2 linked regions of the Daphnia pulex genome follow. The main gene of each other region encodes a partner of the protein of the gene in region 2 in a complex. Links are inferred from orthologs where the notes say so. Each region holds a gene or a part of one and is shown on either strand. Other genes may lie near its edges.

Region 1 (3,803 bases), on a different chromosome or scaffold from region 2:
TACGGAGGTTATTACTTTGATTTGGATATAATAATGGTTCAACCAGTGACACATTACCGAAACTTCATCGTGGCGGAAAACGAGAAAAATTTGGCTGCTGGAGCACTTCACGTTGATTACCTACATCCTGTTATCCGCATGGCAGTGGAGGAGTTCCGAGAAACATACAGGTGTGTACACGAAAATTTCCCAAACTAGATGACTTAACTGTTTTCTTTACTTCAGAAAGGATATTTGGGGTCACAATGGCCCATTGCTCCTGACTCGCGTAATGACAAAATGGTGTTTGACAGAAAACATTGCCGAAATGAATTCTGATAGCTGCTACGGTTTTGAGATTCTTCCTCCAAAAACATTTTATCCAATCGAATGGCCTAAATGGTTGAGATATTTTTTGGAACAAGATATTACGTGGGATAATGACACAATTGGAATTCACGTATGGAACCAAAAGAGCGCTGGCCAAGCAGTTTCAAAAACTTCCGAACAAGTATACACCAAACTTGCTCGTTCCCAATGTCCTTCGATTTTTGCGATGGCTCCTAATGTGTTTTAATAGTTCGTATTTCTACAGCGGTAGAACCGTCTCTCAACATTTGGTTTCCTAATTCTTATTTTCAAGGTTCATTCTTCAAAGAATACAAGTTTTTCTTAAATACATAAATGCATTGCGCTGCGACTAAAAAATGCCAGCAAAACTTTCTAGTATCAGCATATCCATAATTGTTGTTGGCAATAGAAAATTACTGAAGATCCATCAGCAATTAACAAATTGTTTTTTTTTTAAATGTAAAATTAGTATTGCTCTTGGTTTAAGATGCATTGTGAATCGCGTTTTGAAACATGAATATCATGGTTGAAAACATTTGAGGCAAGAGTGAATGTAAAAACTGTTATAACCTGAGGTTTGACTGTTCACTCAATGGGGAGTTTAGACCAGTCAACTGGTGTTTTGTTTTGCTTGAGCAAAAGTTCATTACATTTTGAAAAATGTTTACATCCTAAGAATCCGCGATGAGCAGATAGTGGAGAAGGATGAGGGGCATTCAGCAAGTGGTGTTTTTTCTACAAAAAAAGAAAAGAAAAAAAAACATTAATTAAGCATGAAGTCGTAAACAAATGAATTGGTTACCTTGTCTACTACTAAAGCTTTCTTCTGGGCATATGCACCCCAAAGAAGGAAGACAACACCTTGGCAGTTACTGCTAATCCACTGGATCACGGCATCCGTCAGAGTTTCCCAGCCTTTGTCTTTGTGCGAATTTGCTGCGCCCGATCGGACCGTTAAGCCAGCGTTAAGAAGGAGCACACCTAAATATGTGAAATATCAATATAACAATTTTACGTGACTCTTATTTGAAGATTAAGACAAACGTTAAACTGTGATTGATTTTGTTTAAATGTCTACCTTGTTTGGCCCATCCAGTGAGATTACCATGTTTAGGAATATTAAAACCATCAATATCTGAAGCCAGCTCTTTAAAGATGTTTACCAAACTTCAAATAGTTTTGCAAAAATTAGACACAGTAGTTTTTAAAGTAAAAATTTTAAATATTACCTTGGGGGAGGAGGAACTCCTTTCAAAACACTGAAACACAAACCTTTTTATGAAACAAAAATGTAATGTCAATTCTTTATCTTAAAAGCCATAAAAGTAATTATTTTTTACTATACCATGAGCTTGACCAGGACCGTGATATGGATCTTGACCAATAATAACAACTTTGATATTTTGAATATCACAGAAATGGGTCCAAGACCACACAAGATGTTCTGGAGGGAAAATGGTGGACTTTGATCTTTCAGAACCCAGAAATTTACTAAGCTAAAAACAAAATAATGTAGGTAAATGAAAATAATTGTTATTCAAAGTTAAAAAAAAAGAAACATGTACATACTTCACCAAAGTAGGGTTTCTTAAACTCTGGCTCAATTGCTTGAAACCATGAATGACCAATACTATGGTGTAAGGCACAAGTATTCTTCGCTTGCAATTTTATTTTCGCTAACAAGTGGTTAGTGCCCATTCTTTCTTTTTTTTCAGGAGTAACTACTTCAGTCTTCTCACCAGATTTTTCTCCAACAGGCTAAAAATGAATAGACTTTACAAAAAATACCAGGCATGTATACACAGAACAAAAAAACCTACTTTGTTTTCAATTTGAACATTCTTGGCTTCAGCTGTCTTATTGCCAGACACAAGTTCTGAGAATGTACGCTTCACACCTCCACTTTGAAGAGGTTTAAAAAAATGAGTCAAAGGTTTTTGAGGCGGCATGATTTCTGACTTCAAGAAGCAACTTTAGTTCATTGTAATCATGATTGTAATTAAACACCAAAGTCAAAATAATCGGGCGCGAAATTCACCTTTGGACCAATCTGAAATGAATACATTAAGGCCACCTACAGCAGAAGAATTTGACAAGATTGAGTGAGAAAAAATTCCCTGGTCAACGGAAGGGGCGCTGCCGCTGCCGCTGCCTGAAGAAGAGATTGTCAGCCTGGCCTGGTTATGTAGGAAACATCCGCATTCATTTGTTTTTTTTTTTTTTAGTAAGAGACTAAGAGGAGTAGTGAACACTGAACAGCTGTACTCAGCCCTGACTCAGCTTGTGTCAAAACAGAAGATACCAACAAATCTAAAGAATGTTAAAACCAAAAGCTCTTACTCAAGTCTTGTCTCAAGCAAACACTGGCGGAATCTTAAGCACTTTGTAATATGGCGTGATACCTTAAAATAGTTAACGATTGTTAGTTATTTTTATTTATTTATTATCTTAATTTGTTATGCAGGCTTTTAAATACGGAGGGGGCGTTGCTAGCTTACAGGTGAGCAAAATGTGTTAAAATGTTTTACATTTGTTTATAGTGTTTAAACAATTTTGTGGCTTTCAAGTGGTTATGGGGACAAGGATGCACGAGTGACAGCAGCGATAGCTAGCAACATTTGGTCAGCATATGCTAAAAATGGGAAAGTTGCCTTCAATGAAGATGTCCTGGAATGTGTTCTTCTTGATTGCATGGTATTATTCAATTTAAAGTTTAGTAAACACAAATATTAATTTTGCCAATGCCTTTAAAGGATGGGAAAGTGGTGATTGCCCAAGTTGCTAATTTACTTCTATGTCTCTATGCTAAAGAAAATGTGTGTTTTGGAATGCTTCATGCTAAAGCAAAGGCATTGGCAGACTATCTTGATTCTCCTCTTCGTCAAGTAGCAGCATCATGAACATTTTTTTATAATACAAATTTGGATCTCCTAAAATTTAATGAAGCTGTGAAGCAGAGTTGTATTGCACTTGTGAATAAAAAGCAACACTTGTGAACAAGAAGTGTCAAAATGGCTGCAACGTGGATAAAATCCCACAAGGCTGGTTCTCTGCATAAATTTAGTTCAGTATTTGGTTCCTGGTACAAAAATCCCATAGCTTATTACATTCTTAACCCTTTCTGCTGAAGCACCTAAATAAAGAAACAACATTTTTAAATGCTTCCATCAATAGTAAATTGCAGATACTTACTTTGGCTCTATCAGTAGGCTCTGTTTCTCTTTCTCTCTTGTCACACTCTCTTGATACAACACACAGGAATTCTGAATGGTCTTCATTCCCATAAGAGTACTGTGACCCAACATTTATTAGCTATATAAAAAAAAGATTAGAATAAATAGTCTGTAGTAACTAATAAGATTGTCTTGTGTGTACACACCTGCTCAAATTTCCATCCATCAGACATAGTTGAAACCATTTGAGTTAATTCATCCTCATGACACTGTAATACACGGTAAACTTGCTTCCTACTT
Region 2 (3,377 bases):
AATTCAACAGACGTTGGGTCACCTTCCGTTCATTTTTTTATTCAAAAGTATGAGTCCGTTTCTAGATAATAATTTGAAACTTAACGCGATATTTCATTCCATTCTAGAGCGGATGCATTTGTGCTCTTACGGATTTCGTATTTGTGGTACACGGTATTGAGCGTGGTGATCGTCTTAATCATTGGTACCATTGGAAGCATTTTGTCTGAGCCGCAAGATCCTGCAAAACTAAATCCCAAGTTACTTTACCGAGTAAATCATAACCGTCTATTAAAGTAAGATAACTTTAGCAAAACATTTTCTACATGTTAGCGAGTTTAGCTTTAATTTTTGAATCAATAATGTTATCATAGTAAAGCGGCACTCCAACCAAGTGATGAAACCGATGGCGCTACGGTTATTCGTAGGCAACGAAACGGGATATTACTGTGGGAACTTCCAAGAAGATTATCACCAATAATAGAAGTAAATTTGCCTGATACCTAACATTTACGTCTTCATTCTATGATGTAAATAACATTTTACTTCGAATGCATCACAAACACTTGCCATAGCAATTAGACATGATCCAGTTATCCGTGGTCATTATGTACCTGATATTTGAATATACTGAAAATGAATTATCCGATGTAGATCCGATGGATTTTAGACGATTTAAGCTTTTATGTTGAAAGACAGACAGAACTGAACCATTTCAAAACAGTTGGAATTAATAGCTTCAGGATAAATTCCGCAGACTGAGTCGACACAGTTTTGAGTATAATGTATCTATTCTAGTAGATATTTAATGAGAATGAAGGTACAGTACATCTTAATCTTGTTTAGCTATCGGTCGATTTGAAATGGTCTTCGTCCACCGTAGAGTAAATATGTCCCTCAGAACAAAGGAATTCCAAAGCAGCACTAATAAAAAATTTAAATTAAAATCAATGAAAACATGTTTGTCTTCCACATCAATACACTTACTCTACATCACGTGGGATCATTCTTCCTCTGACAGAATTGTAGATCTGCGACTTTTCCATGCCGGTTTCCGCTGTTGTTGCCTAAAAATAACATGGTTTTTTATTGTTTGAATTTGATCACATAGATGACAAATGAATCTACCTGAATGATGGTATAAACCATAGATTGAAAAGATGACAGTCCTGACATGATACCGTTTGCCACATTGGAAGTAGCTGAGGATGAAGAAGCTAAAGGCCCAGTCATTCCACCACCCATCACTGAGTTATTCATTGATTGTCCTGTTCCTTCTCCCTTTATAAATAAAAATCATTTACCTTTGTTCAAGCATTCATTTGAGTTGTTCATTACCATTTTTCTCTTCATCTGTCTCAACTTCATACGAACCCATTGCGTCTCTAGCAAGTGGGTTGTTATTTCGTTAGCAGTTGTTAGTTTCGCAACACGAAATGCCATTACGTGACGGCGATCCTGTGTCTGTCTAATAGATCCAACAACTCGACAAAAATTCCCTTCCACAACTTGAAAAGGTGATTGGACATTCTGCAAAAATAAATTGGAATAAATAATGAGTGAAAACATATGCAGAACACAATACATACCCCTTCACCCTCAATCCACTGAACAACTTCAATAGAACCTGTATCATCCCTTACAGTGTACGAAACATTAGTCTGTTTGGATTCAATCTGTTCGACAGTACCTACAAATGTAACCTAAAAGAGATAAGTTGTAAATCATAAGTAAATGTAACTCAAAGTGAAGATAAATATGGATACCATGTGGGCTTCAGTATCTTCTATCTTTAGTTTTTCATCAATTTCATCCAATATATCTTTGATATTAACTGGAATGATATTATGAGCCCGTTGAGCTCCACCCTGTGAATGAAACAAACATGAGAAAATGTCTATGAGATATTAAAAATGTCTTCAAACCTTCTTTTCTCCAGGAGTATTAACTGTGCCTCCTGGAGTTCCAGCATTAAAGAAACCACCGGCCATTGTTCCATTTCCAAAATCGCCTGTAATGGAAAGAATGTAAAGTTAATAACACAAAGCTTGACAAAATTGTATTTATTACTTGCTGATTGATCCCACATTATAGATTAATTCAATTATTCGTTTAAATTTGTCGTTCTCAAAACAAAACGTAATGCACGTGAATCACTTCAATCAGGTATGCAGACGTTGTAACTTGTACTGCGTCTATCCACTGTTTTCTTTTCTTTATAGATGGCGGGAAAACTAGTTTTCGCAATCCGATGTTGACGAGTTGGAAACATTTGATATCAATATTGAATTAAATGGCATCTTTTTACAATTTTTACTACAATTGATAATTTTAATTAACGTTTTTATTAACGTTTTTAAAATTTATTATATGCTTGTAAAAAAAATTAAAAGTTGAACCGGATGACTCTGGTTGAACAAATTGGCAATGCTTGTTTTCGCTTCAAAACGACAGACGTCAAAACGAATGTTTTCGTTTTTGTAAATTTGATTGAAAATAATTTGTGTTGCTTTTCTAGTTTTCTTTTTCAAGTTTTAGCCCATAGAAATAATCCTTTGAAATGTCGATAAATTTTGAAAATTCTAAAGACTTAGATGAAATGAGACAAATGAAACGAGAAGCGAGAGAGGCAATTCTTGCGAAGGTAATACACCATCACATTTCACCAATTTGATTTAATAGTATTTTACTGGTATACATTTGGTTTAGTTTATTTTTCTTTTGTTTTAGGCAGAAAGAGATTATGAGAAAAGGAAAGCTAAAAAAGAATTGGCCAAATTAAATGGTGAAGACAAATGGATGCTGCCTGAGTTGGATGCTCAATTGTCCGGTAAATCCAAAAAAAGTAAAAAAGAAAAAAAACATAAAAAGGATAAGAAACATAAAAAAAGCAAGAAAAAAGACAATTCCTCTGATTCTGATGAATGGGTAGAGAAAACATCTGAAACAACAGAACCCGCTTCATCTGCTCCTCTTGAGAGAGATGAATGGATGAGTGTGCCTTCTTTGCTTCCAATTTTCAGTAACAGTAGCATGCCTCCCAAACGAACATCCCTGAACAAGAATGAAGAAATTGCAAGAAAGACCATGATGGAAAAACCAGGGCAGTCAAGTAGAGAATTAAATCCATACTGGAAAAATGGAGGAACTGGTTTGCCACCTGAAAGAACTGAAGCAGAATCCTCAAAAAGGCATGATAGTCCTAATAGTCATGCAGTATCTTCCAATCCTTCAGAAAGAAAAAAACAAAGAACCTCAGATAGAGATTCCACACATGTTAGTAGCAGAGATAGATCAAGATCCCGAGAGCGAAAACATCCAGAAAACATTAGAAAATCATCAACCGTTCAAGAAAGATTCAGAAGACCAAGTGAGAGTGACGAAGTTGTTTCCCATAC

The links. Proteins that work in one complex are often made in the same cells at the same time.
Region 1: the proteins of replication protein A 32 kDa subunit-like (region 2) and uracil-DNA glycosylase-like are in contact, whole or in part, in an NMR structure (PDB 1DPU), measured with the Homo sapiens proteins. The link is inferred for Daphnia pulex from reciprocal best matches to the Homo sapiens genes RPA2 and UNG. Residues at the interface, in NP_002937.1 of Homo sapiens: Ser250, Asn251, Glu252, Gly253, His254, Ile255, Tyr256, Ser257, Thr258, Val259, Asp260, Asp261, Thr267; in NP_550433.1 of Homo sapiens: Arg73, Ile74, Asn77, Lys78, Ala81, Leu82, Arg84, Leu85, Arg88.

Annotation. Positions count from the first base shown.
Region 1 is NC_060023.1:11,049,255-11,053,057, forward strand, and holds uracil-DNA glycosylase-like, read right to left. Parts: upstream 2,453-3,803; 5' UTR 2,280-2,452; coding exon 2,151-2,279; intron 2,089-2,150; coding exon 1,900-2,088; intron 1,827-1,899; coding exon 1,676-1,826; intron 1,603-1,675; coding exon 1,560-1,602; intron 1,498-1,559; coding exon 1,409-1,497; intron 1,312-1,408; coding exon 1,133-1,311; intron 1,066-1,132; coding exon 916-1,065; 3' UTR 596-915; downstream 1-595. Other genes in the region: lactosylceramide 4-alpha-galactosyltransferase-like, read left to right, coding at 1-170, 226-556; ragulator complex protein LAMTOR2-like, read left to right, coding at 2,648-2,715, 2,795-2,830, 2,898-3,024, 3,084-3,230; BTB/POZ domain-containing protein KCTD5-like, read right to left, coding at 3,434-3,463, 3,523-3,642, 3,710-3,803. UniProt on the Homo sapiens protein: Uracil-DNA glycosylase that hydrolyzes the N-glycosidic bond between uracil and deoxyribose in single- and double-stranded DNA (ssDNA and dsDNA) to release a free uracil residue and form an abasic (apurinic/apyrimidinic; AP) site.
Region 2 is NC_060017.1:2,573,723-2,577,099, reverse strand, and holds replication protein A 32 kDa subunit-like, read right to left. Parts: upstream 2,212-3,377; 5' UTR 2,069-2,211; coding exon 2,050-2,068; intron 1,991-2,049; coding exon 1,905-1,990; intron 1,848-1,904; coding exon 1,746-1,847; intron 1,683-1,745; coding exon 1,569-1,682; intron 1,510-1,568; coding exon 1,318-1,509; intron 1,261-1,317; coding exon 1,108-1,260; intron 1,047-1,107; coding exon 967-1,046; intron 904-966; coding exon 822-903; 3' UTR 644-821; downstream 1-643. Other genes in the region: sodium-coupled monocarboxylate transporter 1-like, read left to right, coding at 1-47, 108-275, 354-486; CWF19-like protein 2, read left to right, coding at 2,540-2,623, 2,710-3,377. UniProt on the Homo sapiens protein: As part of the heterotrimeric replication protein A complex (RPA/RP-A), binds and stabilizes single-stranded DNA intermediates that form during DNA replication or upon DNA stress.